Cricetulus griseus: one gene and its partners. The protein of the gene in region 1 interacts with the protein of each later gene in a pairwise test. Links are inferred from orthologs where the notes say so. Each region holds a gene or a part of one and is shown in the gene's direction. Other genes may lie near its edges.

What was found.
Region 2: the proteins of Ccndbp1 (region 1) and Ilf2 interact in a two-hybrid assay, tested with the Homo sapiens proteins (2 studies listed by BioGRID and IntAct). The two-hybrid records come from large-scale screens. The link is inferred for Cricetulus griseus from reciprocal best matches to the Homo sapiens genes CCNDBP1 and ILF2.
Region 3: the proteins of Ccndbp1 (region 1) and Imp3 interact in binary tests that used the Homo sapiens proteins (3 or more experiments, as listed by UniProt). The two-hybrid records come from large-scale screens. The link is inferred for Cricetulus griseus from reciprocal best matches to the Homo sapiens genes CCNDBP1 and IMP3.

The regions. Positions count from the first base shown.
Region 1 is NC_048599.1:57,426,021-57,429,675, reverse strand, and holds part of Ccndbp1 (cyclin-D1-binding protein 1), read left to right. Parts: intron 1-576; coding exon 577-658; intron 659-2,824; coding exon 2,825-2,918; intron 2,919-3,073; coding exon 3,074-3,147; intron 3,148-3,655. UniProt on the Homo sapiens protein: May negatively regulate cell cycle progression. May act at least in part via inhibition of the cyclin-D1/CDK4 complex, thereby preventing phosphorylation of RB1 and blocking E2F-dependent transcription.
Region 2 is NW_023276806.1:64,067,568-64,071,222, reverse strand, and holds part of Ilf2 (interleukin enhancer-binding factor 2), read left to right. Parts: intron 1-1,219; coding exon 1,220-1,285; intron 1,286-2,401; coding exon 2,402-2,518; intron 2,519-2,878; coding exon 2,879-2,957; intron 2,958-3,373; coding exon 3,374-3,461; intron 3,462-3,655. UniProt on the Homo sapiens protein: Chromatin-interacting protein that forms a stable heterodimer with interleukin enhancer-binding factor 3/ILF3 and plays a role in several biological processes including transcription, innate immunity or cell growth.
Region 3 is NC_048597.1:168,459,945-168,462,689, forward strand, and holds Imp3 (U3 small nucleolar ribonucleoprotein protein IMP3), read left to right. Parts: upstream 1-1,177; 5' UTR 1,178-1,229; coding exon 1,230-1,784; 3' UTR 1,785-2,183; downstream 2,184-2,745. UniProt on the Homo sapiens protein: Component of the 60-80S U3 small nucleolar ribonucleoprotein (U3 snoRNP). Required for the early cleavages during pre-18S ribosomal RNA processing. Part of the small subunit (SSU) processome, first precursor of the small eukaryotic ribosomal subunit.

The DNA.
Region 1 (3,655 bases):
GGTCACAGCATTAAGAAGAACCACAGTCTTGAGCAATTTGGCAGTAAGAAAAAAAGATAAATTGTATGACAGCAAGCAAAGACGTAGTAATTGCCTGATTCAGTAGTTGGGCTGTATTCAACAAAAGACCAGGTGCTGAATATTTTAGGCTTTGTAGGACAACTGCTTAACTCTTCCCTTGTAATACAAGTACAACTGTTAGATGCTTGTAAATTAATGAGCATGACTGTGTCCTAGTAACACTCCATATATAAAACCCACCAGTGAGCCTAGGGGGAGCCTCTGGGCTATAATTTGCTTCCTACTGGTCTAAGTGCAGTGATTATCTCATGGCACAACATGATTGCTTAAGATATTAAATAGCAGAAATGAGGTTTTCCTTCATTTTGTAATGCTTTTTTGAATTGTCTGGTATCTGCCTAATTTCTTTCTAGTGTGGGATGAGTACTCCATAGGCTTTCAGAAAATATTTGTTCATGTTTTATAGGTATTTGATCTCTTCTTCAGTAAATAGGCTGACAGCATTGATATTGAACATTTGCTCTGTTCATTCTGAATTTGTCCATCACCTCATAGGAAACCCAGAGGATCTGTGAGCAAATTCATGTTGGCATCAAGGAAATTATTGAAGTATATTATTCACTTCCTAAAAATCAGGGTAAGTCACTGTGTATACACAGTAGTGTTGCATTTTATAGGCTAGATCTTTGCTATATGTAAACATTATTTATCTTTTTGTTTGTTTGCTAGTTTGTTTGTTTTTCGAGACAGGGTTTCTCTGTGGCTTTGGAGGCTGTCCTAGAACTAGCTCTTGTAGACCAGGCTGGTCTGGAACTCACAGAGATCCACCTTCCTCTGCTTCCGAGTGCTGGGACTAAAGGCATGCGCCACCAAAGCCCATCGTAAACATTGTGGACGGAAGTTTCTGTCCCACCCAGTACTGCAGTTGTTTAGTACCAAATAAACACACAGAGACTTACATTAATTATAAACTGTTTGGCTGATGGCTCAGGCTTCTTATTGGTTATCTCTCTCTTAATTACTAACCCATTTCTATTAATCTATCTCCATGTAGTTTTGGCTTACCAGAGAATGCCTGGGCAACTTACCTTCCTGATGGCTACATGGCATCTCCCGTGCCACCCTCTGCTTTCTTCTCTCCAGAATTCTCCTAGTCTGGTAGCCTTGACTATACTTGCTGCCTGTCCATTCGCCAAAACAGCTTTATTCACTAACCAATAAGAGAAACATATATTCACAGCATACAGAAGGACATTCCCCATCACATTATTATATATGCTTATCGTCAATGTATTATTATATATTTATTTATAAACATATTATACATGTCTATTGTCTTCAGTTTTGAGCATGTGACTTTTTCCCCTAATATACTCAAAGGTCATTTTATAATGTGAGTGATCTCATAGCAGTCTGTTATGCTAAAGTACAGATGCTGTGCACCTGTGGTTTCCTATTGTTACTACTTTACCTGATTCTTTAAAAGGTGTGGGTGTGGGTGATGTGGGTATGTAAAAGGGTCTCTCATTCCATTGTGGGTTCCTGGTGTTAAACTCAGATCATCACACTTGTGCAGCAAGTTCTTTTGCCTGCTGAGCCATCTCCACTGGTTATTTTTAAAAGTTATTGTTTATGTGATGGGTATGGGTGTTTAGCCTGCATGTGTGTCTATGCACCACATGCATGTCTGGTCCCTGCTGAGGTCAGAAGAGGGTATCGCTTCCCCTGGAACTGGAATTACAGACAATGTGATCTGCCATGTGGATTTGGGAATTGATCCTGGGTCCTCTGGAAGAGCAGCCAGTACTCTTAAGTGCTGAAGCATGTCTTTATAAAAAACATTCCATTATTTGTGTCTGTGTGTGTGTGTGTGTGTGCACACACATAGGTGCATGTGTGTATTCAGGTGCTCACAGATGTGCATGTGAGTACGTGTAGAATCAGTGCCTTGTGTTTTGAGAGAGTCTTCCTTGGAGTTCACTGATTGCCCAGGAAGCCTCCTATCTCTGCTTCACCAGCACTGGCATTATAGGAACACTCCATTTTGTCTGCCTTTCTCATGTAGGTTCTGGGAATTAAACTCAAGCTGTCATGTTTGTGTGACTGACGCTTTATCAAATAGGCTGTCTTCTCAGCCCCTAATTCACTTTTCTTTCTTATACATGCTTGCTAAATCCCAGCTCCATACCCATGCCAAGGCCATCCCTGTCCTCCTCCACCCTGCATTGCATCATACTCTGTTTGTAGACTCTTCACAAGTTAAGTGCCCACTAGCCTAGCCTGTAGATTTCTACCTTTATTGAAGTTATGATGAGAAAATAAATGAAAACATGTAATAGTTCATCTGGGTTACTTACAAATGCTTTAAACTTACAGTGTTTTGTCCACAATTATCAAAGGACCAGTGTCCTTAATGAATGAACACACATGGAAAGAATAAAACTGTTGGAGAAGAACTCTAAAGAATGGCAGGAGGAGCCGGGCATTGATGGCGCACGCCTTTAATCCCAGCACTTGGGAGGCAGAGGCTGGTGGATCTCTGTGAGTTCGAGGCCAGCCTGGTCTACAAGATCTAGTTCCAGGACAGACTCCAAAGCTACACAGAGAAACCCTGCCTCGAAAAACAAACAAACCAACCCCTGCTGCCCCCCAAAAAAGAATTTAAGACTTGAGTCTTGCACTGGTATGTGCTGTAAAGTATGTATGTATCTGTTACCTCATATTCTGTAACACTTAAGAATCCAGAAAACAAGTTGTGACATGAGAAACGACCAGGCTACTTACTGTTTGGGTTTGGCTACAGGGATCACCCTGAGAAAGCTGGTGCGGAATGCTACTTTGGACGTTGTGGATGGCATGGCTCAGCTCCTGGAAGTGCTTATCTCTCCATCTCAGAGGTATCAGTGCCTCAGTGTGGGATGGCAGTTAATTGGCTTCCTTGACTCAGGGAGGAAAAATTGACCCTAACAGTCAAGTTATATATTATCCCTCATGGCAGACAATTTTAGGAGACTGTGGTTATTGATGTGTCCTTATTAATTCCTTTTTCCAGCACTGAGAACTGTGACCTTATTTCCTGCAATAGTGTCTCGGTAGCATGCCAAAAGGTGTCTGAGATTCCAAAAGGTGGGTAGAAGTAAGCTGGCTGAAGCAAAAAGGCCTCTCATATCCAGCTTCCAGCTTTGCCTTACATAACTAATTTCTATAAAGATTTTAAGTGAAATAATACATAGTTTATTATCATCAATATATTGACTTTGGTACTTTTTGCCATTCTTCATACTGGTTTTTGGTTTGGTTTGGTTTGGTTCTGGCAGTGCTGGGGATTGAGCCCAAGGCATGCCATCCAAGCGTCCTACTGCTGAGTGCTGCTCTTTAAGTTCAGACGCTTCTTGCTGTGGCTCTGTTTCTCGTTGAACAGATAGAGTTTGCTTTCCTGTTGCTGTCCCAGGAGTAGCATCAGAGAGCACGCTAAAAGGGTTATAAAGCAGAGCCAGGCAGATGACTAAGAGTAATGTGATAACAAACACCATGAGACAGTTTTATTTTTTCTGGTGGTGAAATTAAAAGGCCTTCTAATCCTGTGTCCAGGCAGAGAGTGTAGTAGAAAAGTTTTACTTTAAAGCAGTGTTGG
Region 2 (3,655 bases), on another chromosome or scaffold:
ATACATGGTATGACCCACCAAATGGCTGTTGGGAACTGAACCCAGGTCTTCTACAAGAGGAAAAAGTACTCTTAACCTCTAAGCCTCCAGCCTACTTTCCTAAACATTGAGGTTAGATTTGGGGCTAATAATAATTAAAGCTCAGATTTATTTATTTATTTGTTTATTTATTCACTCATTCATTCATGTGTGAGTGTGCATGTGTGGAAGGAAAATAGTAAATTTATTATTTATTTTACTTTATTTGAGATAGGGTTTCACTACATAACTCTGGCTATCCTGGAATTCACTATGTAGACTAGGCTGGCCTCCAACTCAGAGATCTGCTTGCCCCTGCCTCCAGAGTATTGGTATTAAAGGTGTTTACAATCACATCAGGCTCTTTGGTGTTTTCTTAATTTTTATTTATTTATATTTTCTTTTGGTTTTTCGAGACAGGCTTTCTCTGTGGCTTTGTAGGCTGTCCTGGAACTAGCTCTTGTAGACCAGACTGGTCTTGAACTCACAGAGATCCATCTGCCTCTGCCTCCCAAGTGCTGGGAATAAAGGCATGTGCCACCACCACCAGGCTTTTTTATTTTTTAATGCAATTGCAGTAATAAAGGACAAATTGCAGTGCATGTCTAGAAGTTATGGCCAGTACTGCAGTCCACATCCATCAGCTGGAATCAGTTTTGCTCCCTGTGAGACACTGGTTGTGTCTAGACACATCTTTGATTATCTCAGCCAGGGAGTGCTACTGGCATCAATAGGGAAAGAGACCAGGTGTGCTCATGAACAACTAGAACACCTAAGGCAGACCCTGTCCTCACTGAAGAGAATGACCCAGCCCACATGTTCTTTAAGTGCCACTGACCTGCAAATACTGCTGTAGAAAGAAGACATATAAGCTGAGTAGTGGTGGTGCACACCTTTAATCCCAGTACTTGGGAGGCAGAGGCAGGCAGATCTCTTGATTTTGGTCTACAAAGTAAGTTCCAGGACAGCCAAGGCTACACAAGGAAACCCTAAAGTAAAAATAAAGTAAAAAGATGTGTGTACCTGGGGATTGTTGCTTGAGACTTCTAAGCTTTCATTCTCCCTGGCAAGAGTCTTCATTCTAGTTGAATAATCTTCAGTCTGTGGGGTAGAAATGGAAATGCCAATTTGCTTATTGATAGAAGAAATTACACAAAATACATTACTGTAACAGTCACTCTGTTCTTTTTTTCCAATCTAGTGGAAGCTGTTGCTGCCCTGGGGAACAAAGTCGTGGAAAGCCTGAGAGCACAGGATCCCTCAGAAGGTTTGAGTTTTCTCTGAATATCTATGCTGTGGCAATAGCAGCTGGGCTTATAAACAGTCAGGTCCATGTAAGTCAGAGTTTAGCAGGAGTCTCAGGTATTTATTGTTTATTTTATTTTATTATGAAGGATGGGTTATGAGACAGAGACTTAACTCTATAGCCCAGGCTGGCCTCGAACTACATTCCTCCTGCCTCAGCCTCCCAAGTGCTAGGACCATAGATAGGTATGCAGAGATTTCTGTTTTAAAACTCCATAATTCAGAAATAACCCTTAGCTTGAATTTGAACACAGTGCCTCATACATGATAGGTGATCAGTCTTGTCTCTTCCCGTTGTTCTGTCCCTCCCCTACCTTTTGAGATGGGGTATTATGTCAGTTGGTCTTGACTCCTGATGATCTCCTTGCTGCCACCTTCCAGTTACTGGTATAGGCTCTTGATTGATTGATTGATTGATTGATTGATTTTTGGGTGCATGCTGTAATCCCAGTACTTGGGAGCACAAATAGAGTATTTGGAGTTTGCTATATATACATACATATACATCTTGTCCTCAAAAAAATTAAATAACCCACTGCCAGAAAACCCACCTGTTAAACCAGGTGTGGCACACCCTATAACCCCATATTTGAGAAGCTAGGGCAGGGGGATTGGTAATTTAAGGCAAGCCTGAACTATATACACACTAACATGTTTATAGTTGGTAGGGTACACATCTAACAAGTGTGAAGTTCTGAGATCAGTACTCAGCATTACATACACTATATTTGGTGGCACATGCTTATACATGCTTGTTAGACTAGTGAGGTAGAGGAAGGAGAATCATCAGTTGAAAGTCGTCCTTGGCTATACAGTAGTTGGAAGGCAGCCTGAGCCAAATGAGATCTTGTCTCAAAACCAAAACAGGTCAGGAAGATGGCATCAGGCAGAGCCTGATGACCTGAGTTCATTCCTGGGGCCTAATGGTGAAAGTAAAGAACTGATTGATTCCTAAAGGGTTATCCTTTGGCCTCTACAGGTGTGTGAATGTGCCCACTCACACATGCTCTAAATAAATATAATAAAAGCAAAACAGAACAAATATGTGTTACATATTTTGATTATTTTGTTCTTTTAGTTTTGACCATGCTGACTAATGAAACTGGCTTTGAAATTAGTTCTTCTGATGCTACGGTGAAAATTCTCATTACAACGGTGCCACCCAATCTCCGAAAACTGGATCCGGAACTGCATTGTAAGTCTTTTCTCTCCATTTGTGGCAGAGAGACAGCCAAAGCTTTGAAGATCTCTGGAAATTTTAGTATTTACTGTGAAAGAATTTTACTTTCTCCCTAATTTGTGAATAGTTTTACAGCTTCCTAGTGAGATTTTCAAAGCCTTAAAAAGGATTGCAGAGGAAAAATCTTGAAGAAAAAGATAAAAAGTAAAATCTTGTATAAATACTTGTGAAGAGAAATAGATTATTGGGAAAGATTTGGCTGGGGAGAAACAATAGTGTTTAGACAAGTGGCTTGCCACACTCGGACTGGTATTGGGATTGAATTTATTGCACACTTAGTAGGAAAGTTTCTTAGCCTTTTGTACTTGTCTTCAGTGGACATCAAAGTGTTGCAGAGTGCCTTAGCGGCCATCCGGCATGCGCGTTGGTTTGAAGAAAACGCTTCTCAGTCCACGTGAGTCTCCTTGGTTATTTGATTAAGATAACCCTTCCTGAGGAGTGTAGTGGTTCTGGCCTATGATCTAGCCATCAAGAATAACAGTACACACCCCTACTTCCTCTGACAGAAGTTTCAGAAGTGATGTCTGGGTTTTGATTTTCACCTAACAAGATTGAAGGAAGACGTACTGATTATTTTAGTGTATGTATGTGTGCATGTGCAAATGTGTGCATAGGCACATACATGGGTCATAGTCATGTGAGTCTCAGGGATTGAACTCAGGTTTGTCAGATTTAAGAACAAATGCCTTTCTCTGCTGAGCCAGCTGGTGGGCACTGTATATGTAGTTCCCTAAATAGCATAGTCATCTTTGACTAAGTGTGGAAATACCAGTATGGTGTTATTACCTCTAACCTATGGGTCTCTTACAGGGTTAAAGTTCTCATCAGATTGCTGAAGGACTTGAGGATTCGTTTTCCTGGCTTTGAGCCTCTCACACCCTGGATCCTTGACCTTCTTGTAAGTTAAAAAAAAAAAAAAATGCATCTGAGGATATAGCTGGGTAGAGTTGTTTAGTATGTGCAATTCCCAATTGCCAGTACTGCAAAAAAGGAACAAGGGTGCAATTGGAGTCACTCTTGGTCTATATATTTACTTAGTTTAATTTTCTTTTCCCTCTTTTTTTTTTTTTTTTTTGAGGCAGGGTTTCTGTG
Region 3 (2,745 bases), on another chromosome or scaffold:
AGACAGGAACTGTGCTGGAAGATATTCTTGAGCTTGGGTGGGCGGGGGTTCTGGGCAAGAGTTTGCCAGACAAGATATTTTCAGCTCTTTCAGACGATGGGTTGAATTGTACTTAATGAGTTCCTCATATTGGGTGCATATTGTGAACCACTGAGGACTGCCGAAACATACTCTCCAGACTGACCTGAGTAACATAGAATTGTCTCTAGAATAAGAGCTGGGAGTAGAGAAACAAGCCTTTAATTCCAGCATTCGAGAGGTAGAGGTAGGTGGAGCTCTGGGTTCGAGGACAGCCAGCCTGGTCTACATAGAGTACCAGGACAGCCAGGTCCACATAGAGAGACCCTGTCTCAATAAAATAAAAAATAAATAAAATAATAAAAAAGACGACCGTGCCGGGCGTCGGTCTTTATCCCAGCACTCGGAAGGCAGAGGTAGGCGGATCTCTGTGAGTTCGAGGCCAGCCTGGTCTCCAGAGCGAGTGCCAGGATAGGCTCCAAAGCTACACAGAGAAACCCTGTCTCGAAAAACAAACAAACAAACAAAATAAAAAAGACGACCGTAGTGGCTCATGGTCGTAAACTCAGCATTTTGGGAGACAGGCGGGTTGGATTACGGCGAATTCGTGGCTACCTAGGGAAGACACGATGTCTCAAAAAAGTAAAAGCCAGATGTCAGGGTGTTTCCCACTCTGATTACGTGAGTCTAGTAATCGGCCAGGAAACCGGCATGCCATAGGTTTAGTGCTGCTCAGTACTGCTTGGCAAGGAGAATCCCTTTCCCCAGTCCAGTGACAGACCTGTTGCTGACCGGGGTGGGACTATTCGCCAGCTCTAGAAACCACTGGAGCGAAGAAATTCGCACGGTTCTAACTACATCTTTTAGCCGTTACTCCTCTCTCCCGAAACTGACGTCTCCAGCTCTTGAGGGGAACTCTCTTCAGGGTCACCAAAGACAAGAAATCTAACAAAATTTCTGAAGCACTAGGCTATACGACTTCCCCCCAGGCGGTTAAGACGCTCACGCTGTCTTCGCAGGACACGCCCTTCCGACCTCCCGCTGGCCTCTCCAAACAGGAAGCTCTTAAGTCTGACCAATGAAATACGGGGGCGTGGTCGTAGCTTTCTTTCTATTGGCCCAGGGGTCTGGGCGGCGGGGTCTTCCGGCGCGGAGGCGGAAGTTGTGCTGCTTTCTCAGCGTGCTCTCCGCTTTCTCTGGCAGTCTCCATCATGGTGCGGAAGCTTAAGTTCCACGAGCAGAAGCTGCTGAAGCAGGTGGACTTCCTAAACTGGGAGGTCACCGACCACAACCTTCACGAGCTGCGCGTGCTGCGGCGGTACGGGCTCCAGCGGCGGGAGGAGTACACGCGCTATAACCAGCTGAGCCGAGCGGTGCGGGAACTGGCGCGGCGCCTGCGCGACCTGCCGGAACGCGACCCCTTCCGTGTGCGCGCCTCGGCGGCGCTGTTGGACAAGCTGTACGCGCTCGGCCTGGTACCCACGCGCGGCTCACTAGAGCTCTGCGACTCGGTCTCAGCCTCCTCCTTCTGCCGCCGCCGCCTGCCTACTTTGCTCCTCAAGCTACGCATGGCTCAGCACCTTCAGGCTGCCGTGGCCTTTGTGGAGCAGGGTCACGTCCGCGTGGGCCCAGACGTGGTCACCGATCCCGCCTTTCTCGTCACTCGCAGCATGGAGGACTTTGTCACTTGGGTGGACTCGTCCAAGATCAAGCGGCACGTGCTGGAGTACAACGAGGAGCGCGATGACTTTGATCTGGATGCCTAGCGAGCCTTCTCCCCGAGGCTTCACAACTACAGGTCACTGAGCCCGGCATGGGGAGAATAGCCCCTGAGTTCTGGGACTTTTTATTAGAATTTGGACTGATAATTAAATGACTGTCTTTTTTTTTTTTTTTTTTGCGAGTCAGTGGGAAGCAGTTTTGTACTGCACTGGCGATTGTTAGGTCGTCACTTTGTGGTGTAGAAGCAAGGACGTTACCCCCTTTCTCCTTGGCTTTATCATCTTGAGCTAGGATTGACTGCTACAGATTTGGGTTCAGGTGTTTTTGTTGTTTTGTTTTTATATATGAAACGGGGCTACGGGAATGTTAAGTGTTCACTCCCTCCTTTAAAGAAACCTTTTCCTTATGCCAATAAATGTCCCGACCACCTTGTTAAGTGCAAATTTTTGTCTGATGATACCCTTGCCGAGGTTTCTAACCCTAAGAAAGAATCGGAATAGGATTGTAGGCGTGAGGTCTGCCGCAGGAGCCTCACGTGGAGGCTGCAGGATGTTGTATAAGCTGGGCAGATTTATCACTTTACCAGTCCTTTTCTCGGAATGAATGTTTTGGCAGAGCTTTTATCCACAAGACTTCCTGTTGATACTCCAGCCCCAGGAAATACCAAATTAAAGGCCCGGAGTCTTTGCTTGCCTAAGGAAATGATCACTCTGTAGCTTGGCCAGCTCGTGGTTAGAAGTGACCCAGGAGGTTCCTGAAAACAGCTGTTCTTAGGAGTGGAAAAATGTGTGTTTAGTCTTATGTGCAAGGTCATGGGTTCATTGTTAAGAACCCCTACTCCAAAAACCAGGCAAAAAACAACAGCAAAAAAATAAAGTGATAGAATTTGTCAAGAGAACATCAATTTTTAGCACAGACAAATTAGAATACAGAACCCAGCATATTACATATTGGGTTTTTTGAGAGGTGTTATTTTTAATTCTATATATATATATTTTTCCTACT